4 linked regions of the Saccharomyces cerevisiae S288C genome follow. Changing the gene in region 1 together with any one later gene gives a genetic interaction. Each region holds a gene or a part of one and is shown in the gene's direction. Other genes may lie near its edges.

What was found.
Region 2: mutations in SRP102 (region 1) and FMS1 together harm fitness more than expected from each alone (negative genetic interaction), as found in Saccharomyces cerevisiae (one large-scale study listed by BioGRID).
Region 3: mutations in SRP102 (region 1) and GPM3 together harm fitness less than expected from each alone (positive genetic interaction), as found in Saccharomyces cerevisiae (one large-scale study listed by BioGRID).
Region 4: mutations in SRP102 (region 1) and PUG1 together harm fitness less than expected from each alone (positive genetic interaction), as found in Saccharomyces cerevisiae (one large-scale study listed by BioGRID).

The regions. Positions count from the first base shown.
Region 1 is NC_001143.9:157,006-165,004, forward strand, and holds SRP102 (Signal recognition particle receptor subunit beta), read left to right. Parts: upstream 1-4,595; coding exon 4,596-5,330; downstream 5,331-7,999. Other genes in the region: APE2 (metallo-aminopeptidase), read left to right, coding at 1-1,227; 40S ribosomal protein eS27 RPS27A, read left to right, coding at 1,608-1,610, 1,962-2,207; tRNA methyltransferase RSM22, read right to left, coding at 2,451-4,337; phosphoglycerate mutase GPM1, read right to left, coding at 6,637-7,380; NNR2 (NADHX dehydratase), read right to left, coding at 7,912-7,999. UniProt on the Saccharomyces cerevisiae protein: Component of the signal recognition particle (SRP) complex receptor (SR). Ensures, in conjunction with the SRP complex, the correct targeting of the nascent secretory proteins to the endoplasmic reticulum membrane system.
Region 2 is NC_001145.3:308,650-317,403, forward strand, and holds FMS1 (polyamine oxidase), read left to right. Parts: upstream 1-6,727; coding exon 6,728-8,254; downstream 8,255-8,754. Other genes in the region: SPO20 (Spo20p), read left to right, coding at 1-33; PEX9 (Pex9p), read left to right, coding at 1,559-3,103; STB4 (Stb4p), read left to right, coding at 3,507-6,356; MAC1 (Mac1p), read right to left, coding at 8,516-8,754. UniProt on the Saccharomyces cerevisiae protein: Involved in the production of beta-alanine, a precursor of pantothenic acid. Multicopy suppressor of fenpropimorph resistance.
Region 3 is NC_001147.6:219,494-224,679, forward strand, and holds GPM3 (phosphoglycerate mutase family protein GPM3), read left to right. Parts: upstream 1-3,774; coding exon 3,775-4,686; downstream 4,687-5,186. Other genes in the region: ARG1 (argininosuccinate synthase), read left to right, coding at 1-980; YOL057W (dipeptidyl-peptidase III), read left to right, coding at 1,274-3,409; THI20 (trifunctional hydroxymethylpyrimidine kinase/phosphomethylpyrimidine kinase/thiaminase), read right to left, coding at 4,927-5,186. UniProt on the Saccharomyces cerevisiae protein: Could be non-functional.
Region 4 is NC_001137.3:555,598-563,929, forward strand, and holds PUG1 (Pug1p), read left to right. Parts: upstream 1-3,856; coding exon 3,857-4,768; downstream 4,769-8,332. Other genes in the region: TOG1 (Tog1p), read right to left, coding at 699-3,083; YER186C (uncharacterized protein), read right to left, coding at 6,108-7,028. UniProt on the Saccharomyces cerevisiae protein: Involved in inducible protoporphyrin IX influx and heme efflux.

The DNA.
Region 1 (7,999 bases):
GTTGGTTTCCCAGTCATTTCAGTTAGCGAAGATGGTAACGGTAAAATAACATTTCGCCAAAACCGTTACTTAAGCACAGCTGATGTCAAGCCCGACGAGGACAAAACCATCTATCCTGTATTTTTGGCTTTGAAGACTAAAAATGGAGTTGACAGTTCCGTTGTATTGAGTGAAAGAAGCAAAACTATTGAATTAGAAGATCCTACCTTTTTCAAAGTTAACAGCGAACAATCCGGAATTTATATAACATCCTACACCGATGAAAGATGGGCAAAACTGGGTCAACAAGCTGACTTATTGTCTGTTGAGGACCGTGTCGGTCTGGTTGCTGATGTCAAGACACTATCTGCTTCTGGCTACACTTCAACTACTAATTTTTTGAACTTAGTCTCCAAATGGAATAATGAAAAGTCATTTGTCGTCTGGGACCAAATAATCAACAGCATATCTTCAATGAAATCTACTTGGTTATTCGAACCAAAGGAAACCCAGGATGCGCTTGATAACTTCACGAAGCAACTAATAAGCGGTATGACACACCACTTGGGTTGGGAATTCAAATCTTCTGATTCGTTCTCCACTCAACGTTTGAAAGTGACCATGTTTGGTGCTGCTTGTGCCGCAAGGGACGCAGACGTTGAAAAAGCTGCTCTAAAAATGTTTACTGATTATTGCAGCGGTAATAAGGAAGCCATCCCAGCATTGATTAAACCAATTGTATTTAACACTGTGGCAAGAGTTGGTGGTGCAGAAAACTATGAAAAAGTTTACAAAATCTACTTAGATCCAATCTCTAACGATGAAAAATTAGCCGCATTAAGATCTTTAGGCAGATTTAAAGAACCTAAATTATTAGAAAGAACCTTAGGATATTTGTTTGATGGCACTGTCTTAAACCAAGACATTTATATTCCAATGCAAGGAATGAGAGCTCATCAAGAAGGTGTAGAGGCTTTGTGGAATTGGGTTAAAAAGAACTGGGACGAACTCGTAAAGAGACTACCTCCTGGTCTTTCAATGCTAGGCTCCGTCGTCACATTAGGTACCTCTGGCTTTACATCAATGCAAAAAATAGATGAGATTAAGAAATTCTTTGCCACTAAATCCACGAAAGGTTTCGATCAAAGTTTGGCTCAATCACTGGACACTATTACTTCGAAAGCGCAGTGGGTTAACAGAGACCGTGATGTCGTCAACAAGTATTTGAAGGAAAATGGTTACTATTAAGAAAAAATCTCTTTTCTAGCCATTTTGCCTTTTTATATAGTCAAGTATCTATATGTGACAAATACTTCTTCTAAGCTTGGCCTTCTGATAGGCTTAGCTTGCAGTGGTTGCAAACATACATAAATCAACAAAAAAGTACGGCTTAAAATTTTGGTATTCATTTATTTCAACCCGTGCACACTGGAAATAAATCTGTACATAACAGCATATTTTGTTTTTGAAAAAATTTCTGTGTTCCTCCGATGTGGGAAGAATTTTAGGATCGGCTAAATTTCGTAAAGTATCAGTAACTTGGTATCTCTGTATAAGCGGAGTCTAATTTCGATAACAAGCAACTTCATCGTAACACCTTCCAACAAAGCAAAGATAGATATCCCAAAATGGTATGTTAGTATCCAATAAATGCAGCGCAACTGGACCAGTGAATAGAACAATACATATAGATAAGTCGCAAAAAGAAAAGAATACATGTGGTGGAAAATTTTGCACCAAGAGAGGCAAGAACTATGAAGAAAGACTTTTGAAATATTTCAAGCGGTTGCTACATATAGTGGATAAGATTCAGGATGGACGTATGAGCTTACAGTTCATTGTAGGGGAATATAAAATTCTGATGATGGCGAACTTCATTCCCAGCAACTCAAGCTATTGTTATTTTTCTATTCTGCACCGAGATGAGGAGAAAAAAGGAAGTTTACTAACAGTTAGATTTATTTCTTATTCGTCTACAACAGGTTTTAGTTCAAGATTTATTGCACCCAACTGCAGCTTCTGAAGCAAGAAAGCACAAATTAAAGACATTAGTCCAAGGTCCAAGATCGTACTTCCTAGACGTTAAGTGCCCAGGTTGTTTGAACATCACTACAGTTTTCTCACACGCCCAAACTGCAGTTACCTGCGAATCCTGCTCAACAATTTTGTGCACCCCAACTGGTGGTAAGGCAAAGCTTTCTGAGGGTACATCTTTCAGAAGAAAGTAATTTCATTACTAGACAGATGAAACGAAATTTACTTCAAAAGAAGAGCATTAATAAAGTGATTCAATTATGGAACCAGCAGGGTAGGTTTTATCATATATAATATACACTCAGTTGTCATCTTTATTGGCTTTTTAGAAACGCTGCAACAAACTGTACTATATATATATCATATTCACGTATGTAGAATATTAAAGTATTGAATATATTAATATTATTACTTTATTTCCAGTTACTTACAATTTCCTATTTTCTATTTACATGTTGTAAAAAATCGTTGCCGTGAAAAGTGGACAATTTCTTCATTACCTCAAAGTTTGAGAACTGATGATCATCAAATTGAAGAGAGTCCTCCAATTCATTATAAGATTCCATAGCCTTTCTAGCTTTTTGACGTTCTTCCTTTTTCAACTGCTTGATTCTCTCCTTTTCTAGCTTGTGGAACTTCTTAACATTCAAGTCTCCCAGCCCTTTAATCTGTGTTTTGGCCGCTGAGGCCCATAAATCACCTTTCTTACTCTTTCTGGCATCGTGGTATATTTGTTTAGAAAACGACCGCGAAACCGTCCATTTTTCAAGTTCTCCTGATGGCGCACATAAATCCATCATAACATGACCTTTACGTTTGACAGGATCATTGATAATTCTAGGCCAGGAATTTTGCGTGTCATCACCCAGTGATCCAATGTCATATTTGCCGTTCACATTTTCATTCCGTAATTTCTTAATTTCTTTCAACGTATTTTCGTCCTTATGTGATCTCTCGAATATTAAATAGGAGTAGTTTAAAATTTCATAGTCACGACCATTTCTTCTTCCCGTTCCTTTTAGCCTCGACGCATTTCCTTGAGAACCATCCCATGAAGTAGCGAGAAGTTTACCCTTCTTTAACTCTATACTGAATTTGGGACGCTTGATGCTTTTTTGAAAATTGCAGAACTTTAAGTCTTTACCCTCTTTATGAGTATAAAAGTTAGGATTTCCAACCTGTAAGGGACATTTCCTTTGATGTGGACAAGGTGCAATCACCTTCAGAAAATAATTACTGGAAATGTTTCCTAATTCAGCATCTTTTTTGCCTCTGACTGTTACTCCCCTAGACCAAGGTCTTGGTATTTTTCCGAATTCATCTGGAAAGTTTTCAGGTCTAAGCGTAATTTGCCTTGCCCTGGCTATAATCTCGAATCCCATTGGGTTGCCTCGTTCAATAATAACAATGTGGCCTCCAGGCGCTAGAATATTTAAGTAGTGCTCAATATTTTCATCCACCTGAATTGGAAATTGATTCCCGTCATGAAGAAGTTGATGCGTTAATATTATGAGGTCATATTCCTTAGATGCGGGAATAGAAGACCGCAAGTTAGTCATAATGTTTATCTTTTTTGTCATCACTTCTCCAATATGTTCATCCTCTTGAAAGTTTTTGTTCCGTCTATCTGTTTCCTGCTCTTTCTCTGTAGACACATTTTCTTCTACAGTATCGACCACCTCGTTAAGTTGTCTGCTCAAAATGATTTTGGCTCTTTCTTGCATCTCCGCATTCCCTAAAATAACGGCATCTTTTAGATCAGGTCTATAATTTGGGCCTAAAATATCATTCAAGGCAACTATACCAGTCGCTGGGCCATATCCAACATCAAGGATTCTTTGAGGTTTAAAATTATCAGGACCTACCCTTTTTTGTAATTCTTTCAGACTTTGGAAAATAGAACCATAATTTTGTAAAAAAATGGACGCTATATGTGCATCCACTTCCATTTTGGTTCTACAGGGACGATGTAATGAATTTGGTTCCTGAATCTCTTTGTAATAATTTGTAGCAACCCTTCTAAGATTATTGGGAATATGTACAGCCATAATATTATTGTTGATTGCTTTGCTTACATCAGGATTCAACTCTAATTGGTCCCGGTACGACTGGCCCTGAAGTGTTTTGGAAAGTAATCTGAGCTCTTTAGAATTAGTTGCTTGAGTGGTGCTAGCGGTTTCATCTCTGTACGACGGAAGAACATTGATTCCTCTTTTATTTGAGTCTATAAAATCCGCCAAATCTAACTTTGGTAAGTTTAAACTTGTGAACTTTGAGCTGAACCGGACATTTTGTGGTAGGATACTGAAGCATCTTTTCATCATTTTACCTAAACTAGACGGGCCACCTTATGTCCTAAAGTGTCAGAGGTTTTGCTGCAATACTGTTCTTAATTTTTCACCATTCACTTTTTTCATCTAGTGGCGGAAAAAAATAAGAGATATGGAAAACAAATATGAACCATCATTAAACTTGAAAAAGATGAGAAGAAAAGAAATAGTTAGGCTTTAAGTGTCTGTATTGATCAATTAATTATTACTTTACCACTGCTGTTTATTAGCATAATAGCACACGGGATCAGAATGCTTAGTAATACACTTATTATTGCCTGTTTATTGGTGATAGGGACAACCATAGCGCTAATAGCAGTGCAAAAGGCATCCTCCAAGACAGGGATCAAGCAAAAAAGTTATCAACCATCTATTATCATTGCAGGTCCTCAAAATTCTGGAAAAACGAGCTTGCTTACGCTGCTAACCACAGATTCAGTAAGACCAACTGTTGTTTCTCAAGAACCGTTATCAGCAGCGGATTACGATGGTTCCGGCGTCACGTTAGTGGACTTCCCAGGCCATGTCAAGTTGCGTTATAAACTCTCAGATTATTTGAAAACAAGAGCCAAATTTGTTAAAGGGTTGATATTTATGGTAGACTCAACAGTTGATCCTAAGAAATTAACAACAACAGCTGAGTTCTTGGTAGACATATTATCAATTACTGAATCTAGTTGCGAAAATGGTATTGATATCTTAATTGCATGCAATAAAAGCGAATTGTTCACTGCAAGACCACCATCAAAGATCAAGGATGCTTTAGAAAGCGAAATTCAAAAGGTTATTGAAAGAAGGAAAAAATCGTTGAACGAGGTTGAAAGAAAAATTAACGAAGAAGATTATGCAGAGAATACACTAGACGTTTTACAGTCTACCGACGGGTTCAAATTTGCAAATTTGGAAGCATCTGTAGTTGCTTTTGAGGGCAGTATTAATAAAAGAAAAATTTCCCAATGGCGCGAATGGATAGATGAAAAACTGTAATATAATTATAATTTATAACTAGATGAACGATAGATAGTTTAAAAACAAGCATTTAACATAGCTCTAGATTCCGTACGCAGAGAAAGACATAGTTGCATCATCGACACATGCAATATCAAAAGTAACTCTTTTTGACTGCTGGTGTAAAAAACACTCACGATGGGGGTCGAACCCATAATCTTCTGATTAGAAGTCAGACGCGTTGCCATTACGCCACGCGAGCTAATATTTGTTTGATGTTCCAGCAGTTATATGATCTAATTATGCGGGAAAATAATTGAAGATAAGTAGTTTGATGTATTTTTATTATAGTATTATATTTTCTGATTTGGTTATAGCAAGCAGCGTTTTTTTTCTTCTTTACCATAATCATTGTACCAGGAAATTTTGTTCATAATTATTGTGTTGATTGTCAATGGTCAAAGGTACAACTAATGAAGATTAAATATGGTGAATAGGAGGCCTGCTAGCCACCGTACATTTAATATGTCCGCGTGTTGGAATAAAAATCAACTATCGTCATCAACTAGTGGTTATACTACCAGTATATTATCTTATATGGTGTCAAATGTGGACATGATGACATAAGGTATGAGAAACTGTCATCGAAGTTAGAGAAAGCTGAAATACAAGGATCAATAATGTAATAGGATAATGAAACATATGAAATGGAATGAGGAACAATCGTGATATTATTATGTAGAAATATCGATTCCTTTTTGGGGATGCCTATATCCTCGAGGAGACACTTCCAGTATATTCTGTATACATAATATAACAGCCTTTATCAACATTGGAATCCCAACAATTATCTCAAAATTCACCAACCTCTCATGGCGCATATTCATCATGCATGTAACTACCACATCAATGTTCAATCATGGACTTTTAACTAATCTTAAGTACTATTCGAACTGCCCATTCAGCTTTTCCCTTTGCAATTGGTGCACTCCTACTTGAACGAATTCGCGGGGTGTACATTAAACTACGATGTAAACATCAAGGTTATTGCTATAACATGTCATGTCACCATTAATTACCACTCATTCCAACATACTGTCCCTGACGAAAACTGTTTATGCGAGCGCAAAATGAACCTATTCAATTAATAATACTCCTCAAATTGCTACCACGACAGGCTGAAAAAAGATGTCGACGAATAATGTAATCGTGTCAAACAAACGTTATCTTGACTATATATAGCTACTTAATTTGAAATAATAAACTATACAAGTCTATATCATTGATATATTCAGTAAGAAAAATGGAGGGAAAAAGAAATCATCAAATCATTCATTCTTCAGACTTATTTCTTACCTTGGTTGGCAACAGCAGCGGCACCAGCAGCGGCAGCTTCTGGGTCCAAGTAGTAAGATGGCTTAGATGGCTTCAAGTTTTCGTCCAATTCGAAGACCAATGGAATACCAGTTGGGATGTTCAACTTAGCAATGTCAGCATCAGAGATACCTTCCAAGTGCTTAACCAAACCTCTCAAGGAGTTACCGTGAGCGGCGATCATGACGGTCTTACCACTCAACAAGTCCTTGGCAATGACATCTTGCCAGTATGGCAACAATCTGTCAATGACCAAAGCCAAAGATTCAGTTTCTGGCAAGACATTTGGGTCAACGTACTTGTATCTTTCATCACCCTTTTGAGAGAATGGAGAAGAAGCGTCGATTGGGGGAGGTGGAACATCGAAGGATCTTCTGTAGGTGTTGAATTTTTCTTCACCGAACTTCTTCAAAGTTTCAGCCTTGTCCTTACCTTGTAAGTCACCGTAATGTCTTTCGTTCAATCTCCAGGATCTGTTGACTGGAATCCATAATCTGTCAGCCTTTTCCAAAGCAATGTTAGCAGTTTGGATAGCTCTGGACAACTTGGAAGTGTACAAGACGTCTGGGTAGACCTTCTTTTCCTTCAACAATTCACCGGCTCTAGCGGCTTCTTGTTGACCCTTGGCAGACAATTTAACATCAACCCAACCGGTGAATAAGTTCTTTTCGTTCCATTCGGATTGACCGTGTCTAACTAAAACTAACTTTGGCATTATTGTAATATGTGTGTTTGTTTGGATTATTAAGAAGAATAATTACAAAAAAAATTACAAAGGAAGGTAATTACAACAGAATTAAGAAAGGACAAGAAGGAGGAAGAGAATCAGTTCATTATTTCTTCTTTGTTATATAACAAACCCAAGTAGCGATTTGGCCATACATTAAAAGTTGAGAACCACCCTCCCTGGCAACAGCCACAACTCGTTACCATTGTTCATCACGATCATGAAACTCGCTGTCAGCTGAAATTTCACCTCAGTGGATCTCTCTTTTTATTCTTCATCGTTCCACTAACCTTTTTCCATCAGCTGGCAGGGAACGGAAAGTGGAATCCCATTTAGCGAGCTTCCTCTTTTCTTCAAGAAAAGACGAAGCTTGTGTGTGGGTGCGCGCGCTAGTATCTTTCCACATTAAGAAATATACCATAAAGGTTACTTAGACATCACTATGGCTATATATATATATATATATATATATATATATATATGTAACTTAGCACCATCGCGCGTGCATCACTGCATGTGTTAACCGAAAAGTTTGGCGAACACTTCACCGACACGGTCATTTAGATCTGTCGTCTGCATTGCACGTCCCTTAGCCTTAAATCCTAGG
Region 2 (8,754 bases), on another chromosome or scaffold:
AGATTGGAGAAAGTGATCGGGAAAAGATGGTGATCTGTTATACACACAAAATATCGTGTATAAATATATTGAATAAATAGTTTCTAAAAAGGCATACGCAGATATTCTTGCGAAAGAGAAAAAAAAAAGAGCGAGGGGGACATTAGTACTGAAGGTCTCAATTCTTCTTTGTATTTTCTTTCGGAGTTGTCAGACAAAGCTTTCTCTTTCCCATAAATAAAGTGCATTCAAACATCGGCAGGTTTGTTTTTCCCAGTTGTTACGTATTTGTTTCCCGTTCCATTCATGATCTTAAACTGGGTTAACTGAAAAATCAACATGATTTTGTGAAAAGTAAAAGAGGGTAAGAAAGATAGATACCGCTGTCGTGGGACTATATTTTTTACAGTACCAAGTCTACTTGCTTCTCATAAAGTTGATAAGTTATAATTCATATAATTTCATTTGTCAAAAAAGATTTTAGTTACAAAACGATATCAAAGTTCAATCTTGTTGGGAAAAAGGAAAACATTATGAAGGGTTTCCGGTAATCACTGCGTATGCCACACTATTCCTATAGAATTGTCTTGATTGGGTGCTTATGCTGCGGAAAAATTATATTCTGCGCTTGCCTTTTATATTAAGCGTCACAACGCCCTTACCAAGATCGAGCGGATTAAGACAAGAGTGTATCTCAAGCGTCCGTATATGTTTAAGTTGAAAAGGATATTTAGTAAGAATAATTCTACCCTACAAACGATATTAGTAAAAAAAAAAATCAATAATAGAGTTATTGTACAAACATGTTCTGAAAATTGGAAGCATCACATCGTATGCTACTAGAGAAAATTTTTACTATCCTTTTTTCCACAAGCCCAGCCCTAGCCCGATCATCCTATTAATTGTCAGACCACCGAATGCTATCCCGCCACGGTTGATATAACGAAACTCTTTACTGCTTTGGGTCAAATATGCCTCTTTTCCGCATTTTTTCGGAGTAGTTCATTGCCGCATACATACCGCAACTTGGACGAGGATGTCCTCCTTCTCTTACTTTTTTATTCGTTTCCAATTTGTTTCTCGTACCGTTCAAGTTTCAAGCCTACAAGAAATGTACACGACATGGATGCGTCAGCCTGATTCAGATATGACAAGATTGTTCCTGCGCATATGTGAATATGAGCGCACGCAATACATTGAGATCTTATTTGGGTTTGTAAGTGCAAACTTAATTTACTTTGCTTCCTGCCGGTTTTGATGTGCACCTGGGAACTTAAATAGCCGCCAAAAGAAAAGCAATCAGAGCGGCGCGGCGCAGACAAAACCCGAAGAGTTTCCTGGGAACGGTAGAGGCCTTGGTAGTACCTTACTAACGCCGGAGAGGATGATTGATACGCATTGAAATCGTACAGAAAACTTGGGGCAAAGCGCTCTTACCCCAATATTCTCACCCAAACAGTGGCAATAAATAAAGAAAAGGTCATCACTTTTTTTCGTACTCTTATCCGTTTTATTTTATTTTATTCTTTTTTTTTGAGTGGAGAATCATTAAGAATAAAGGGTACCTTTTGTAAGCACGATGAACGAAGTTACTTGTTCCATAACTGGTGACAACCCAATTCATAAGATCAACAATGGATTAGGCTTGAAATGGAATAATCTGGGTAAATTCTCTGATTTTCAGACTAACGATAGCGCCGCGCGAGATGCTAGAACAATAGATTACATCTTTACCAATTGTCAAACCGGCAGCAGTATTGGTAAGATAGATTTTCGGGCCGCACTACCGGCAGATAAATCTCAACATAGTGGTGTCAGCGAAAAAGAATTTTCAAGACTTGAGAACCAGTGGTCAAAGGAATTCTCTTGTTTCCCCAAGAATAAAAATGCTGATGTGACCAAGCCCAGTAGAAACAAACATGAGAAACGCTCCGCTAATTTGCACAATAGGTACTTTGCACAATATTATAGTACGGCATATCAGCAAAATCGTATATATCCTTGTCGAATATCTTACAATGAACACTCATCTGTTTCTAATGGCTGGGAATTTCAGTTCAAATCAATCGAAAATCAGTTACTAAATGAGCTAAAGATAGAAAACAATGTAGAAGAAAAAACTGTTGGTTATGAATATGTGGCAGAATACGAAGAAACAATTGATTTCATGCATATGCTGTCATCCGTACCACAAACATATCAATTCCTAAAATCAAACATCTACATAACGGAACGGGACCCATATAAAATAGGATGTGTACTAATGGACAACGGTTCCAATTTGAACGAAGTAGTAATGGCCTTTGAAGCAGCCATTTCACAAGATCCAAGCCATATAAATGCATGGTTGAAGTTAGGTATAGTTAATTTTGAAAATGAAAGCGAAAGCAATGGAGAGCTTGCTTTGCGAAATTGCTTAAATTTGGATCCAAATAATACAATTGCATTGGAAAACTTAGCAATTCACCATATAAATCAACAAAATGAATCAGAGTCATTGAAACTTTTTCACAAATGGATTCTTTCAAAATTTTCGAAGGTTTTCCAACCTTCTGCGGGGGAAAACAAAGATAGCATTAATAAAATTCCGAAAAAGGCCCATTTGGCGCATATTCTAGAATCCCTGTTGAATATGGGTATAGAAAAAAAAGATCAGTATGATATATATTCAGTATTATCAATCTTATATTATTCGGATCAGAAAATAAAGCAATCTCAGAAATGCTTAGAGTTTTTACTACTGGAAAAGCCCAATAATGGAACAATATGGAATAGATATGGTGCTATTTTGGCCAATACTAAGTCGTATCACTCTGCGATAAATGCGTACAATAAATGCAAACAACTAAGACCGAATTTTACAAGGGTTCGTTATAATTTAGCGATCGCCTACATGAATAAGGGTGACTATGTAAAAGCAAGCAAAATGCTAATCGAAGTTATACTGTTACGAAGTAAAGGATATGAACACAACAAAGCAAAAATGCAAAACAAATTTATGCAAAATTTAAAAAATGCTCTCATCGCTTCAAAAAATTTTGATTCACTTGATCTAATAAATGGTTCTCATAATACAGAATCGTTAATATCAACCTTAAAAGCTATTTATAACAAAATGGATTAGGTTTTAGTTAATTTTTTTGCTATATAGTGCATTCAAAATAAAAAAAATTAAAGCTGAAACAAACCAAATATGCTATTGGACGTTCGAAAAGCTAATTGCGTAAAGGAACACTAAACACAGCAAGCTTATGCTAGTTCTTCTCAAAAATATAAGTTCCTCTTGCAAGAATATGAAGGTAATTTCACTTTATCGCGCAAGTGCATATTTCTGAGTTTACTATGTGCTTCGTCTGAAACCTCTCATTATCTACTTAATATCGGCTATTCATCTCACGTATTCACGTAATATTTGATTTTTGTACTACTATTTCTCTCTGTCATACGTGCATGATACATTTCCTTGTTCAAATTAAAAGAGTCACCGTCAGCCTCTCAAAACAAAGAAAAAAGATACCCGGCTGAACATGAGTATCAATCATGAAATATATTATATACTTGTATTTGAGCATCGTTCAGTAGCAATCAAGCTCATCATCGTAGTGATTGTTCTCCTTCAGTTTTTTTTAGCACGAAGTCGGCAAATTGATAGGACATGGGCCCATACTAATAGAAAGGAACGGTTCAGAGAAATGACAGCTATCGGGAATACTGATGATGCACTTGATACTAGTACAGCCGCAAGTAAAGAAAATGGAAAAGGTAGACTCAGGGTTCAAAAAGCTTGTGAACTTTGCAAGAAGAGAAAGGTTAAATGCGACGGTAACAATCCTTGTCTGAACTGCTCTAAACATCAAAAAGAATGCCGTTATGATTTCAAAGCTACAAACCGTAAAAGAAGAAGACGACAGGTCGCATCAGCTGTTCGGGACGTTAGTAAGACATATGCAGAAACCAGTGAGTCTTTTCCTAGGGACTTGTTAAGTAAATCAAATATTATCATAAATGCCCCCTCAGATGGTGTATCTTCGTCTGCTAGCAACTCTCCCAATCCAAATTCACATTATCATCATATATCATCCACTTTACCCTTCATGAGCGGTAGGCCAAACCATACATTCCATTCCGGAAGCAACTTAAATGGAGAAAATAACAATAACAGTTTTCCGGAGGATCACATGGCTAAATTACTTCTGCAATTGAGTTCAAAATTGGGGAATACGACCAAGGAATCGTCAATTAGAACAACTAGAACCAATGCTAGTGATGTGAATGCAAACCCGACAGTGGTCAACATGAAAAATAGTCAGGAAGACTGTGACACGAATCACAGGTCTGCAATATGTGACTCTGCAGAGGCTCTTCATAATAACAACATCAATTCTAAAGAGAATAAGATAATCAACTCTCAAATAACTAACACTGTTAATGATCACTTTGAATCACCCTGGCAGACATTTTCTTTAGATAAGTATAGGTTTCACCGACGCTACCAAAATATTCTGCCCTATTACCTTGGTGTATCTATTTTAAAGGATCTATCTCCGCAGACAATAGAGTACGCGAAGTTGAAAAGGCCAAGAGTTCAAAACTATGGTTGGAACTTGTCAGGAGGCCATTACTTAAAGTATAAGGGTGACTTTAGAAGCCAAGAAAAAAATATAAGGCATGAGTCTAAATTTTTCGACTTTGATGACCCTGTTCACTTATCCTTAATCAATAAGTTACTAAGGTATTATTTTGATGAGATCAATCCTGTTTTCAGTATCATTCACGAAGCGACATTTTGGCAGCAATATAACAATAAATTTCTACGGCAAGGTAAACAAAATAATTCATCTGCGAATCTATTCACTTCCATGCTTTATCTAATTTTGTCTACTACACTAAGATTCAGAGAAGGGCATCTAGATGGTCAGAAAGGGCAAGGAACCTACAGTAACACATCCTTAAATATCACATTCGAGGAAAAATCTATTTTGATCAAAAAACCCTCCATAGAGGAAAATTTATTCAAATACGCTTATTTAATAATCAACACGCTGACCTTTGAGTGGGAATCATTCGAACTAATACAATCGTGGCTTTTGATAACCTTCTATTTCAGAACCTGTTACAGACAGACGGCGTGCTGGAACGCGTTAAGTCAAGCGGTGAACATGTGTAATGGGATGAGTCTATATTTAAACAAATTTCCTGAGATCCATTCCACTTATGATGAATCAAAAGCATGGCATTGTTTCTGGTGTTGTTTTATAATGGATAAGTTGATAAGTTTTCAAATGGGTCGATTCTACCAACTATCATTACCCGCGAGCGAGATGTGCGAACAGATGAATCTAGTGAAGTCAAAGAAATTTTTACAAGAAGAAGATGATTGGTTTCACGAAGAGACTTTTCAAATGCTTGATTTGTCCATAATAGTGACACAGTTTTTAAAAAGAGACGCACAGGATTTAAATTTGAACGAGACCGTGCAATTGCGCAGCCAACTTGGTCAATGGTATGACACCTTTATAGTTGGAAGTCAAACCAATGCGTACGACGACAATTATCGTTACTTCTATCAAGTTCAACCATTCATGACATACCTGGATATAAGGCTGACTTTCGAAGTAAGACAATTATTTTGTCTAATCGCCCCCTCATCTACCGCAAATAATAAATCCCTAGAATATGTCGTCGATACTGAATTGTTAATTTCTCATTGTCAAATGGCTATTGAAAATTTGGCTGAAATTACGAGAAGTAATCTTTTCTTTGTTCCGTGGTGGTTAAACCTTTCTCAACTATTCACGGTAAATTTAATATGTATTATCTACCTGCACGCAGGGATTGCCGTAACTCAAAATAAAGCTATCATGCAAAGCTGCCAAGAAATATGGCGAACCTTAGAGTGCTCTAAGCCAAAAAATCGGCCTTCAATGCTTCCTGAGTGCTTGTGGTGTTTGAAAATGCTGAATCATATGTTCTGCATACGACTGAGAGATTCTGCTTTGCAATTGGAAGCTACTCTCGGAACTGATCATGGTGATGACACCCCTAATAGAAATAAGTTTGAGCAGTTCAAGAAAGTTGGCGATAATGATGCGGATGTTGAAGTTGATGCTGGTGAAAGAGAAGAAAATGCTGATGAAAGACAAGAAAATCCACATAACAATAGCAAAAGAGTACCATTAGCTACTAGGTCTCATAATACCACTAACTTCGACGGTTCAATCGCAATTTCTCCGGAAAGTGCAGTAGCAAATCTAGGTACTGATACTGGATTGCCCTCAGATGTTCTTGATACTGTCAGTAAAATAGGGAACTCTCCTAATGTGTTTGATGATGATTTATTTTCCAATTTATTATGGTTTGACCAAAATTTTGCATAAGGATTCTTTTTCTATTCCATAAAACCATTTTATGGACACGTTTACCTACATATTATTATATTGTATATAAGATGTTGAAAAAATTGAGTCAACCTCACCTTACCACATGTTGGTCCGTTGCTATGACAAACTCTCGTTTTACAAGAAGGAGGCTCAAATTTCGGGTCACCCACCCATATACGGATGTCACGCTATGAGATCTTTTAAACAATAGACAATTTTTGGTATCCTAAAGATATAAAAGAGGAGTTTTTTTAAACCATGGTAACTATTTTCAAATTTGCTCTGCTGCAGTTTTTTATTTCTGTTTTTCTTTTTTTGTTCCCAACAAGAAGTGAGTTAATAAAGGCAAAAACAGTGGTCGTGTGAGAATGAATACAGTTTCACCAGCCAAAAAAAAGGTTATTATAATTGGTGCCGGTATTGCTGGGCTTAAAGCTGCATCTACGCTACACCAAAACGGTATTCAAGATTGTCTTGTTCTTGAGGCCAGAGATCGGGTCGGTGGTAGGTTGCAAACTGTCACAGGCTATCAAGGTCGGAAATATGATATAGGTGCTAGCTGGCACCATGATACGTTGACAAACCCTTTATTTTTGGAAGAGGCTCAACTGAGTTTGAATGATGGGAGAACGAGGTTTGTTTTTGATGACGATAATTTTATTTATATCGACGAAGAACGTGGAAGGGTAGACCATGACAAGGAACTGCTTCTTGAAATTGTGGACAATGAAATGAGCAAATTCGCAGAGTTAGAATTCCATCAACACTTAGGAGTTTCAGATTGCTCCTTTTTTCAATTAGTAATGAAATACTTACTACAAAGACGCCAATTTCTCACAAATGACCAAATAAGATATTTGCCACAACTCTGTCGATATCTGGAATTGTGGCACGGCTTAGATTGGAAGCTTTTGAGTGCCAAGGATACATACTTCGGTCACCAAGGAAGGAACGCCTTTGCTTTGAACTATGATTCTGTGGTTCAAAGAATTGCTCAAAGCTTTCCTCAAAATTGGTTAAAGCTAAGTTGTGAAGTGAAATCAATTACACGAGAACCTTCAAAAAATGTGACAGTGAACTGTGAAGATGGTACTGTGTACAATGCTGATTATGTTATTATTACAGTACCTCAAAGTGTATTGAATTTGTCTGTACAACCTGAAAAAAATTTACGGGGAAGAATAGAATTTCAACCACCCTTGAAACCAGTGATTCAAGATGCTTTTGACAAGATCCATTTTGGAGCGCTAGGTAAAGTAATTTTTGAGTTTGAAGAATGTTGTTGGTCGAACGAAAGTTCAAAAATTGTAACTTTGGCTAACTCTACCAATGAATTTGTCGAAATAGTACGTAATGCGGAAAATTTAGATGAATTAGACTCTATGCTAGAAAGGGAAGATTCTCAAAAGCATACGAGTGTTACTTGTTGGAGCCAGCCTTTATTTTTCGTAAATTTGTCAAAAAGCACAGGAGTAGCAAGCTTTATGATGTTGATGCAGGCACCGCTTACAAATCACATAGAATCCATTAGAGAAGATAAAGAGCGTCTTTTTAGTTTTTTCCAACCTGTGCTGAACAAGATTATGAAGTGTCTAGATTCTGAGGATGTCATCGACGGAATGAGGCCGATAGAAAACATTGCAAACGCTAATAAACCAGTCTTAAGAAACATCATCGTTAGCAACTGGACACGCGATCCTTACTCACGCGGTGCTTATTCGGCCTGTTTTCCAGGAGATGATCCAGTTGATATGGTTGTTGCAATGTCTAATGGTCAAGACTCCCGCATAAGATTTGCAGGCGAACATACTATCATGGACGGCGCCGGCTGTGCCTATGGTGCTTGGGAAAGCGGAAGACGGGAGGCGACTCGAATCTCTGACTTACTGAAATAGAATCTATTTTTTCGAAATTACTTACACTTTTGACGGCTAGAAAAGGATATACATACATATTAAAATTTTTAGTAACACTCTGTGCTTTTTCAAAAATTTGAGGTACACCTAATTCTCCCACTTGTTGCTTATACCAAGTTTGAACAATTTTAATGTTAAGCACAATAGATTGGAATATTATCATATGGTGGTTCAGAGAGTAGTAGGGTGCATTTTCATTCCTGTTGCCTCAATGTGTTTTCTATCTGTATTTACGTGATTTTATGAAGTGGTGGCATCGCTTAGATGTGGTGCATAATTAGAGACTAATTTTTGAAACCACGCATGAATGTCAAGTAATTCTAACTGAGCATCTGTCATCAATGGCACTTGCAACTTCAAAAAATCCCACCAATATTTTGACGGCACCAATTTACCTTTGAATTTTATTTGAGTTTTCCTTGTTAATCTTGCATTCAGAATTCCATAGAAAAAGAATTTTTCAAATGGAATTATATTTG
Region 3 (5,186 bases), on another chromosome or scaffold:
CTGTTATTGCCAAAGCCCAAATTGACGTCGCTAAACAGGAGGGCTGTTTCGCGGTCTCTCATGGTTGTACCGGTAAAGGTAATGATCAAATCAGATTCGAATTGTCATTTTACGCTCTGAAGCCAGACGTTAAGTGTATTACACCATGGAGAATGCCTGAATTTTTCGAAAGATTTGCTGGCAGAAAGGATTTGTTAGACTATGCTGCACAAAAGGGTATTCCCGTCGCCCAAACCAAGGCCAAGCCATGGTCTACTGACGAAAACCAAGCCCACATTTCTTACGAGGCAGGTATCTTGGAAGACCCAGATACCACCCCACCAAAGGACATGTGGAAATTGATCGTCGATCCAATGGATGCTCCGGACCAACCACAAGATTTGACCATTGACTTTGAACGTGGTCTTCCAGTCAAGTTGACCTACACCGACAACAAGACTTCCAAGGAAGTTTCCGTTACCAAGCCTTTGGATGTTTTCTTGGCCGCATCCAACTTAGCAAGGGCCAACGGTGTTGGTAGAATCGATATTGTAGAAGATCGTTACATTAACTTGAAATCCAGAGGTTGTTACGAACAGGCTCCATTGACTGTTTTGAGAAAAGCTCATGTTGATTTGGAAGGTTTGACTTTAGACAAAGAAGTCCGTCAATTGAGAGACTCATTCGTCACACCAAACTACTCCAGATTGATATATAACGGTTCCTACTTCACCCCAGAGTGTGAGTACATCAGATCTATGATCCAACCATCCCAAAATAGCGTTAACGGTACTGTCAGGGTTAGACTGTATAAGGGTAACGTCATCATTCTGGGCAGATCTACAAAGACTGAAAAGTTGTACGATCCGACAGAATCCTCTATGGATGAGTTGACCGGTTTCTTACCTACCGATACCACCGGTTTCATTGCCATCCAGGCCATTAGAATTAAAAAATACGGTGAATCCAAAAAAACCAAAGGTGAAGAGTTGACTTTGTAAGTCCGCTAGTTCATCGCCTCAAGATAGATAACGATCTCTTCCTCCACCTCCTATTTCTGCACACTCTTGTGATGTAAATACATATGTAGACATATGTAAGCTTTTGTATAAATAGTTTAAGAAAGCATCATACCAATTTTGAATAGAAGAAAAAATAGCTAAGAGCATAGCCGCTCGGAATAAGTTGACGTAGCGAAAAATCCCAATATCGTAAAGGAAAAATACCTTCATGAGAACAGAACATTGAAAAGAAGAAAAAAAAAACTGAGCACTGCACCATTAAGTCCTCAAAGATGAGCCACTTTTTCGCCGATCATGATGCTCCTCTGAGCATGCTTTCTGTTAAAACAGAATACTTTCCTCAATTGACTGATAAGGAACAAAAATATGCGCATTTCATGTCAAAGGCCTCCCATGCGGGTTCAAGGGTTGTAATGAGACAAGTTTCTCATGAGAGTGAGCCAATTTTTGACCTAATCCTTGCCATTCATTCAAAGCTAAACGGCAAGTACCCAGAGGACGATATTACGCAGAAGCAGCAAACGGGTTTGTATTTGGAATACGTTTCTCAATTCTTATCTAATTTGGGTAATTTCAAATCGTTTGGTGACACTAAGTTTATTCCTCGTTGTGAGGTAAAATTCTTCAAACAGCTTTTGGAGCTGGCCAAGATTAATCCGTGTTCTTCTCCGCTCACTTTATCTCCTGTTGACGTTAACCATGAATTCACATCTCATCATCTTTTTTCCACCATCAATGAGCTAATTGATATTGGTATTTACCATGTGGAAGAGAAGGCGGCTCTCTTAGGGTTTCCCTCTCAAGGTTATACTTCAGCCTATTATCTGGGTTTACCTGTGACACCTGAAGATATGGCTCTTTTGAAAGAGCAGTTGTTTGCTGAACTTGCCATCTTGCCTGAAAACACAAGAATCAACAAAGTTGGTGAAAACAGTTTCCAAATCTGGGTTGCCTCTGAGAATGTGAAAAACCAGATAACAGAAACCTACCCCAGTGGACAGATCACATTATCCAATGCTGTAACCAAAGTAGAATTCATTTTTGGTGATCATTCACGTGAAATGCGTTTAGTAGCATCGTATTTAAAGGAAGCTCAAAAATTCGCGGCTAATGATACTCAAAAAGCAATGCTTCAGGAATACATCAACCACTTTGTCACTGGCTCTTCTCAAGCACATAAAGAAGCACAAAAACTTTGGGTCAAAGATATATCTCCCGTCATTGAAACAAATATCGGTTTTATCGAAACATATAGAGAACCCTCGGGCATAATTGGAGAATTTGAATCGTTGGTTGCAATTCAAAACAAAGAACGTACTGCTAAATTTTCCAGCTTGGTTAACAACGCAGAAGAATTCATTTCCTTACTACCATGGTCTAAAGATTACGAAAAACCGATTTTCAATCCACCAGATTTCACCTCTCTAGAAGTATTAACGTTTACTGGATCGGGTATACCAGCGGGCATCAATATTCCAAACTATGATGATGTTCGGCTTAAAATTGGGTTCAAGAATGTTTCTTTGGGGAATATCTTAAGCGCGGCTGCCAAAAGCTCATCCAAGCATCCGCCAAGTTTTATATCGCAAGAAGATCGCCCAATTTTTGAAAAATATCAAAGTGATTCTTTTGAAGTCCAAGTAGGCATCCATGAATTATTAGGACATGGTTCAGGAAAGTTGTTGACAGAATTTACAGACGGCTTTAATTTTGATAAGGAAAACCCTCCTTTAGGTTTGGATGGGAAACCGGTGAGCACATACTACAAAGTTGGTGAAACTTGGGGTTCCAAATTTGGACAGTTAGCTGGCCCATTTGAAGAATGTCGTGCGGAAGTAATTGCCATGTTTTTGCTTACTAATAAGAAGATTCTTGATATTTTTGGTTTCCATGATGTCGAATCTCAAGATAAAGTGATCTACGCTGGATATCTACAAATGGCCCGTGCGGGTCTCCTAGCTTTAGAATACTGGAATCCAAAAACTGGTAAGTGGGGACAACCACACATGCAAGCAAGATTTTCTATCATGAAAACATTTATGAAGCACTCTACAGATAAGAATTTCTTAAAGTTGGAGATGAACAGCACGAATGATGATTTTGCCATCAAGTTGGATAAATCTCTCATTAAAACAGCGGGACATGAATGTGTGAAAGACTATTTAAAGCATTTGCATGTTTACAAATGTTCAGGCGATGTGGAACAGGGAAGTAAGTACTTTATTGATAGATCAACGGTGACACCGGATTTGGCGTCTTTAAGAGACATCGTCTTATCTAAGAGATTGCCAAGGAGACAATTCATACAATCGAATTCTTATATTGACGACAATAACAAGGTAACCCTGAAAGAATATGATGAAACCCCACAGGGTATGCTCCAATCTTTCCTTGATAGAGAATTATGATGTCCTTAAGAGCACACGTTTTAATTAGCAACCTTTGCTGTTGCTTTTGTTCAAGCTATTAGATTATGTAAACAGATATATATTATGTAAGTGTGACAGGATACGACAGCACTAACTGTCAGCGAATTTTGATTTGTTACTTTTGCTAGTTTTGTGTGACTTTCCTTTGTTTTTTAACTTTTTTTTTCAGATTTGTATTATGAGATGATAACAATGCGAGATTTCATTGACAAGTTCGATAAAACAATAGAAGCTTCCATTTTATACATATGTGATAAAACAACCTGCAATCGAGGATTTACAATAAAAGTCTCTTTGAGAGGATTGAGAAATAGTGCAAAAAGATCTACTAATAACGAATAGTTATGACTGTTACTGACACTTTTAAACTGTTTATTTTAAGGCATGGTCAAAGTGAATTAAACTCAGAAAACATATTCTGCGGATGGATTGATGCTCAATTAACGGAAAAAGGGAAGTCTCAGGCCCGCCACTCTGCAAAATTGATCAAGCAGTTTTGCGATTCTAACAATATCTCTTTGCCTCAGATTGGCTATACTTCAAGGTTGATTCGAACTCAGCAGACCATGGACGTTATTCTCGAAGAGTTGGGACTAAAACACACCAATTATGTAATTACTACGAATACAAACATTAAGGAGGAGCTGCAGGACACAAGATTTGAAGGAAGTATGCCTGTGTTGCAAACCTGGAGGTTAAATGAGCGTCATTACGGCGCATGGCAAGGACAAAGAAAGCCAGATATCTTGAAAGAATACGGTAAGGAAAAATACATGTATATCAGAAGAGATTACAACGGAAAACCCCCTAAAGTCAACCTAAACCTGGAAATGGTCCAAGAGGAAAATGATCAGGGGTCCTCCACAGGCTATGATTTTAAGGAGCCCAATAGACACTTAAAATACGGCCCCGAAGAGAAGGCTAATGAGCGTCTGCCAGAAAGTGAGTCTCTTTGTGAAGTGGTCGTCAGATTGAAACCATTTTTAAATAATGTTGTTCTGTCTACCGCCAACAAAATCAGTCAAGAATCGTGTGTTATAGTTGGGCATGGCAGCTCTGTAAGATCTCTGCTGAAAGTATTGGAAGGTATCTCAGATGAAGACATCAAAGATGTCGATATTCCCAACGGCATTCCGCTAGTTATAGAGTTGGATAGAGACAATTACTCTTTTGTGAGGAAATTTTACTTGGATCCAGAATCAGCTAAAGTTAATGCTCAAATGGTTCGTGATGAGGGTTTCGAAAAGAATCCATGAATAGTTTTTAAAAATAAAAAATTAGCGCCATTTTTTTCATGGTTTCCTTTTATATTTCCTTCTTTCTTTATTGATAGAATAATGAGTAACGAAAAGCAGCTAAATAAACGTGTTTAAATTTCTATAAGAAGTTTTTATAGATTGTATAACAAAGAAACTTTTTTCTTATTATTATTTTTTTGTTTTTATAATTCATTATATGTAGGTATATCTTTATCTATTGTGCATAAGCCATCTTATCTACTCGTATTCTAGCGCAGCGGTCCAAAAATTTGTTTCTAATTCACAAACTTCAGCGTAGATTGTTACTAAAGTGTCAAGTTGCTCTGGAGGGTATGTTTCTAAGATGTGGTTCAAAAGTTTTTCACCTTCATCCATGGCTTCACGATACCATGAAGATGCGTAAGTTTCACACCATTCGTGGTAAACGGACCCTTCAGGTGCGGTGACTTTACCCTTCATTTTAGTTAAAGCTTCACCATAACCCATCAAACAAGGAG
Region 4 (8,332 bases), on another chromosome or scaffold:
CCTCTGGAATGGCACCTTAGAATTTCTAGGCACAGGAAACTATTCGATTTTTCTAATATATGAATCTAAGTCAAATTCAATATCTATGTTATTTCAGAAAGTGGAGTAGGTGTGCTTTTAAGAGAACGGATTTATGACGGAAAACTAGGTTAAATAGACGAAGAAAAGCTGAAGTAATTATCGTTTTGCTGAAACTTTCAGGATAATCCCTATCATAATATATTCCTATCAAGCGATGAGCAACGGAAAGCTGTGAATTGTGAATGTAACAACAAGACTATGTGAAGCAATTTTTAAGAGTTATTTCATTTAGCAATCTTTTGAGACCCGAAATACTCAAAGAACGATAAAATCGTGGGACGAATAATTAGACTAGCAACAATAAAAGGAGTAAATACAACTAGATTTGTGAGTGTGTGTAATTGCGTGTAGCTTGAAAGACTTACCACAGTGGTATCAACACCATACTCGAATCGTTCTAGATCTTGCATAAAAAAAGGACATTTACTTTTACTTACTAGTTATGAGCCACCTTTGATTTCATGGTACAGCCCATAACCTTCCTGAAAGCGGTGCATAACGTAAGGGACTAGATTAGAATCACAAAACCTTTTATTGCATTCTACAGTATTCGTCTAAATCAAGGGATTTTATTTCCTAATTGAAAGTGATCAATTGTTTAGGTGCATACTTGGTTTTTACTCTCCGAGGTTTTCTTTAGTAATACCAAATTCAGTGTCCTCCCAAAATAGATTGAGAAGGTCTGGTAGAGATTCTGCAGTCACAAAATTTTCGAGGCTACAAAAGTCCATGCCAACTGAAACACTGGTGCTGCTGGGTGACAACTTCTCATAACAAGCACCTTCTTGATTTTTTCCCTGTACGCCAATAACTCTATTATTCACCAAATCACCCATTTCCCTATCAAGAATGCTGAGAATTTCTTTACGGAAGCTTGATTCTTTGTGTTCGCCTATAATATTCCTGTACCAGATACATTCAATGTCCAACGCAGCTTGACCAGCATCTGAGCAAGCCTGGCCATATTTTTTCAATTCACAAAACAGCGATTCCTTAGCCATTTTCTGTGAACGTGTGTACATCTGACAGCAGATGCGTGTTAGGATGAAAGAAACCGCTGTTCCATTTTCCAACTTTTTAGAGAAGGCGTTGTTGCCCTTGAAATTAACATTGCCAGAGCTCACAAATAAGTCATTATATGAGGCTATCATGCGGCACATCAAGGATAAATAACATATCGAGTTCCTTCTAGGGGTCTCGATAAAATTCAAGGTAATATTCATCAAGATGGCATATATGAACCACGAACAACGGAAAATATAGAACGTATCTTCGTGCTTGAGAACATCCGTCAAAATATCTACAGATGCTTCAAAGGTTTGAAGCCTGATGTCCTTTACGCAGGAATCAAGTTCAATTCTCTCTCTTTCTTGTAGAAGATTTTGTATCCTTAAAATTAAACTCTCCATTCCCTGAAAACAACAAACCTTTGCAAATCCGAAATGGGTGTATAGTTCAAATACATTACTATTTTCAGAATATTGTTTGAGGAAAGGGATTAGTTTGTCTTGTATGCACTGAAAAATTTTACATATTTTTGAAAACTCTACCATAAGCTGTCGTGCGGTTCCATTTAGGTCTTTAGCGTTAGGAGTTGCAAATAATCTGTAGTCTGTAAAGTGTCGATTATAAAGCAAACCAGAGAATACCGCTGTAATAATTTTCGTTAATAGAATATAGCCGAAAGAGATACAAATATCAAACTTACTTGGGTCGAGCTCCACCAAGTTTATTAAAGTAAAACAGTCCATCGAATCATCTACCCCTAATCCAACCACATCCTTGGGAAAGAGACACGAAGTCATTTCATGTGGTATCAATGGCTGCTTACCGGTGACCAATGAATACCATCTATCCCACCAGTAGCAGTCCCACCATAACTTACGATATTCTTCGGCAGTGTCCTCATCCTGACCAATATAATATTCCCAACGATTCAAACCAGCATCCAAACTTCGCCTGGACATCGTGGAAATAATTCTTCCCAGCACAAAAGGATCGTCTATCCAATATCTGTGTTTCATCAACGAGACTAAGCCCTTTAAAATAGTCAAGTCGTACATTGTCGAAAATAGGGATCTTTCAAAATATTCAAGACAGAGACAAAAAATCAACTCATCTTGCTCAAGAAAATATTTCAAAGGAAGTAATTTTTTGGAACTTTTACGATCCAACGCCTTGTGGTGCTGTTCCATCAATTGTACTCCGTACATAAACCAGTCTGTTGGTTTATTGAATTTGATTGTTTGGTTAATGTTTGTATTTCCTTTGATTTCATTCGATATATTTGACATAATGTGTTGAATAAGTACGTCGTTCCCACATGAAAGTCCGTTTAGCTTTGAATAATACTCTAAAGGAGATATCGAAGTTACTTTAGGACCAGCATGGCTAGCAGAGCTAGCGTCAAGAAACTTCAAAAATAAATAGATAGTTTCTCTCGTCTCCCTATCATTCGAACATGAAATCAATTTTTTAGTTATCCAGCTAATACCCGTAGAGGCAAAATATAGCAACGGTGAATAGACCCCAAAGTACATACTGACATTTTGTGCAGTATTGCTTTCAAAAGCGTTGGAGAACCTATTCAAAGATTTTGACTGTTTCCCGATAATTTCTGTTTCTATCGATTTCAGGCCACCATACGAGCTAATTTCCTTACTGTCCAGATTGAGGTAAAGCTGAGGTTGTATTTTTTCAAGCTCAGTGCAAATGTTTGCTAGGCCTTTCTGTAAAGAGGCCGGTGCGCTTGGAGGTAACTGTGCCTTCAATTTTGCTATGCTGCACTTAGCATTATCCAAATCATTACTGAGACTACCAGTATAATTGAAAAAAGCCTCAATCGGTTCACGAAATTGATTTCTATACGTACATTTTGATTGAGACCCAATACACCCAAAACATGGCTTCTTACTGTTGCACTTAATCTTTTTCCTATGGCATCTATCACAGGCCTTGGTTACCCTAGATTTTTGTTTGGCTAATCCTCTTTTTGCTGCCATCTCAATAAAATATAAAAAGCTAAAAAGCTTAAAATTTAAACAACAATAATGTCGTTAACCTAATGCGCTTATTCGATGAGATTTGGATTTGCTTCTAGCTTATAGAAAGGAAGAAAGTTTTTACTGTTCAAAGCACACATCAAAAAAATTATTACCCAGCCTTTCAAACAAACAAAGTACTCCAAAATAGTTATTTTTGAATACTAGCAAACCAACCAATCACTTTTTTTGTTGGATTATCAAATAAGCCTAATCAGGTCTTTCATGCAGCGTTGAATCCAGGTTACTTCACCGCACCTTAAGTTAAGATCAGGACAGTATCGGCTGTTCCTGAGAAACCAGCCATATTCAAGTTTCGGTATCCTAACCGTTGATATTGTCCTTATTTGTCGACCTTCAAATATTGTGGCTGCCATGTATATGAGCGCCTCGATCTATTATGACTAAGCCATGCGATTGTCGTGTAATGGTATCGCGCATACTGAAGGTTTCAGCCCTGTTTTGATGTGCCGCGGCAAAGTGGTTTTTCTCCATACAGGATGAAGTGTTTCTTTCCCCATGCCGCGGCAAGCTCATCCTAAATAAATCTCAACTTTTCAACTAAATGTACTTCAATTGAACAAATGCCAAGACCTCAAATGAATCAGTATAAAAGCACCTACCGAATCAATTGTGGGATGTATAGTCTCTTGCCTCAAAATGTCCAGGATAGTAGGTTAATAGTGTCCAATTACATAGCTACTTAATCTTTTATTGTCCATCAACGTTCCAAAATGTCCACAACTGATTCGGGGTTCGTACTTTACCACTATACGCCAAGTAAAGCGGCTGCAATCGTATTTGTCGTACTCTTCATTATAATGACAGTCATTTTTGCCGTTCAAACTTTATATGCTGCGAGAAAATCTTCTAAGGCATTGAAAAATAATCCATTTGAGTCATCTGATGATAAGGTCGATAGTCTTGAGGATGCTGAATACAAGCAACTAAAAATCACACCCACAGTTTTTGCGTTTATACCTTTCTTCACTGGCTGCATCATGGAAGCTGTCGGGTATATCGGGAGGGCTCTATCCAGTTCCAATCCTGAAAGAACGACCCCATATATTATCCAATCTGTTCTTTTATTAGTCGCTCCAGCACTAATAGCTGCGACGATTTATATGATTTTTGGAAGGTTATTACATGTTATGAGGTGCCAATCTTTAATTTTGATTTCTGCACGCTTTGGTACGACTTTCTTTGTTGTGGGAGATGTGTTTAGTTTCTTTTTACAAGCTGCAGGTGGCGGACTAATGTCTAAGGCAGGATCAACGAAGACTGGTTCAGGACTCATAACTGCGGGTCTTTTTGTACAGGTAATTTTTTTTGGATTTTTCATTATCAATGAGATAAGATTCACAGTAAATGTTAAAAGGAGATGCTTATTTTACGAAGATATTTCCAGAAAGTGGATCTTTGTGAATGCTACCCTATTATTAAGCAGTATGTTGATCCTACTACGTTCAATTGTCCGAATAGTTGAATTTATTCAGGGATTCAATGGCTATATAATCTCTCATGAGTATTTCATATATGTCTTCGATGCTGTACCTATGTTATTGGTAATAATAGCATTTAGTGTGGGATCCTTTTTCGGCAACGTATTCGATGTTATAAAGGAGTGTCAAACGTTAAGTAATTAGATAATATATATCAAATTTTGATTTCTATGTAGTGCAGCCAATCAATTTTAACTTCATTTAGAATAAAAATCTTTCCTCTTCTGCTTTGAAGCCATTAAAACGAAAGATCTAGGCGGTACTATTTCTCCATTCTCAGCCGTACAATCATGCACCGAAAAGGAAGGCAATGTATTGAATTTTTCGCCGAGAACAAAATATTTGTAAACACTCGTTAGATTCCGCATTGTTAAGTGGCATCACAAACACAATCAAGATTAAGAGAAAAGTAGCTCGTTGAGAAAGATTCTTGTACATATCGGGATACTTCTGAAGTCTAATAAAACATTCAAATAAAGACAGACTGGATAAAAGATTCCTGAACGTCAAAACTTATATCTTCTTGTCCCTTGGAATGTCTCTCTGCTCTTATATTGTTGCTGTTGAGTGGTCTCATGACAATAAAGTATGTCACTGAATTGAAGACTACTGAACCATGGCAGCTAATACAATCACGCCCATCCAGAAAAGTGTCGTGTGGCGAAAATTTTTGTTCACGTTGAACAGAGGGTACTGATTTCAAAGTGCTCTTAAGTCGTAATGACGGCCCTAATAATGATTTCCAGACCCTTTGGAAGGAGTTTCTTCTTTAAGTACTGCCCTCCCTGATCTATATTTGTAGGAAATTTTTAAAGTACCTAGCCTTTTTCTCAGTCACGGCTGTAGAGTGTACACAGAGCCTTTGAAGTTTGGTGCTTTACGAAATTAAAGCAGTCACCTATGTCATTTAGCTACAAAAAACTCGTCTAGAAGAACAGCACATCGGCCTCCTATATCGGTACTCATCACAGAATCAATGTATAGTATGTGTCAAGGAGAATGTATTAACGCCAAATTAAAGGCACACTAACATGTAATGAAGCTGGTGTTATATATTTTTTTTCAATTGACGTGAAACTCAGTGTCTTAGAATTATTTTTTAGTTCAAAGAGTACGGCTATTGAAGTGAGCCACAATGTCATTTAGCTTTATAAACACAAGAGTAAAAGTGCGCTTGTCTTCGCCTCAATGAATTAATGGAGCAGAAAATTTCTTAACGGTCAGCAATACTTGAAAATAATTTTAGCAGTTCAAACTTTCGTTGTTATCTTGATACTGAACTCTCCTTAGTATTCATATAAATGATTCTATTTAATAGTCCCCTCCGCAGGGTAATTTTAAGGCCTTCTTTTATTTCCAAAGGAATTAGTATATAGCATATAATATAATTTATCACCAAATCAACAGAAAATATCATAATAGCATTAACCCGCAAGAATTTCTTTAAATGAACACAGTTTTCTGCAGTGTTAAATAGAAATTTCTAATTATCCTGCATCCAAGACATGAAATCGGTATATTCAAGGAAATTTATTAGCACTGAAATGCATATATTCATTTTTGTTAGCCACGGAACTGAACTCTCATTATAATGTGGCGGTCCGGTTTCCCCTAAAAATAATTGAGGGCATATATGCATATCTTTTCGAGACTCAGGTTGAAAAAGAGCCTCCTTAGTTCTGCACATACATCCAATAGTAGGGCAGGAGTCCCAATCAAATTTAGGTATGTCCTCTATGCTATCACCCACCTCTGGTAAACAGCCAATTGCGGCCTTTATGATGAACAGTGAGGAATTCAAATTAAATTTACTCTCTGAGGTGAAAACCCATTTCATAATAACCTTTTTATCCTCTACAACATATACTGATCTAATTTCAGAGCATCTAACCAGTGTCAATATCCTAAAATCTTCCTTTTTTCCGAAGTTGAGCTCTAGTATGTGGGATATTCTCTCCTTATTGCGATAATAGCTTGTTTTCTTCACCTTAACAGTGCAAAAAAGAACTTTAAACAGAGTGAAACCGTCGCACTCTCCTTTTACCTCATAATCCGACTCTTCAGGGAAGTCCCCATTTTTCAATATCTCGTATTGATAAAAAAGAAAACCCACATAATCTCGCCTAACAAAAAAAGGCTTCTTAGTGCGGAAGGCAAATAACGGCAAGCCCTCTCCATCCGCCGTAAATGACTTGAAGGGATGCTTCCTACTTGCAAACAGATTTATAGATCGTTGTGATTTGAATATTAGATCGTCTTTGAAAACACGAAGCTTGACCATTCCAGTTTTCGTTACAGTATCAAATTTAAACTTATCCGGAACATCCTTCCTGTCTTCGTTAGCGTAGATTTCTTCTTCTATAGCCTTTACTCGAGGCTCGTAACCATCAGGATGCCACAGCATGATACTGTTTACAGAACTCGATCATATACTAGAACCTTTGACTTCGGTAATCAGCCCGCATCCTATGCTTTCATTTCCTTGGCGTATGTTACTGACTAGTTTCCTGGCTTAAAATAGGAGAATTCATCCTCTTAGTTATTTTCTTGGTGGACCACGTGCCTTGCTTAAAGCAGGGCGCTGCCGTTGTTGCAACAGCATTTTCAGACTTTCCTTTAGGTAAAAAAGGTCAACCAATAATTTTATTTTATTTCTGATGATGGTTGCGCGTTCCAAGAAAATCAAAACCTTGGGCCTCATCCTCTTCTAAGACGTATAATGCAATCAAGAAACCCTTCCCAAAACCTAATAAAGGCTTGTTATTAGTTTCAAATTCAGGCAGAACTCGACTTGGATCTTTTAAACTTTTAAAGTCGTAGAAAATAGGTGCATAATTAGCTAAAACAGAAGAGACTCACCATTTGAATTATATAACTTTATTAATTCGAGTAAAACATCCATCAGGTATAGCGTGTTGCGGAAAGACTTTTTTTACTCTTATTGTAACAAATATGTGTTACAATTTACCTGTAACCTTGTTCTGTATAAAATTTTCTCTCGTTGTCATATGCCAATCTTTATATAATTAATAGAAATTTAGGAGGAACACAAGAAGAGGGGTAGATCCCGACAAGCCTTAACATACAGACGTAAAATTACTCGCAAATTTGCGAACCACTTGGTCAGGTGCGGTACGTAAAACGAAGATTTGTACAATAAAAATATTGTTGGTTTAGCTAGATTATATTCTCCGATGATTTTTTAACTTCGATTTCCATCAAATTTTATATTAGACAGTAATGGAGTTTCAATTTCGAAGTCACTTCACTTGAAGCTGAATTATACTAAAAAAATTTTCTTTTACTTGATTTATTGCTCTGCAGTGTCTGATAGTGTAATGGCGGATAATGCAAAGAAGAGTAAAGGGAAGATATTTTATTTCTTTGATTATACAAAATTTTTAACTTGTATGTGATCCCTGTCTTTAATATCGTTTCATTATACAAACTAACTACAGAAATAGCTAAATGAGTGATTACTGTGCCATCATTTTGACTTCAAAGATCATCTATATCTTGATATAACATCTACCTGTCGAAAGTAAGATCATCCCTTTGCGGGCATGTAAGGTGTAAGATATAAGAACAAACAATTGCTAGAAAATAGCTTTGAATGAATGTTAAAAGGGACTGAACTTAGAAGTGTGCGATTTTCTGTTTTCAAAATTTGCCCAAAGCGCTTCTTTTCTTTTTAAGAATTGTATAGAT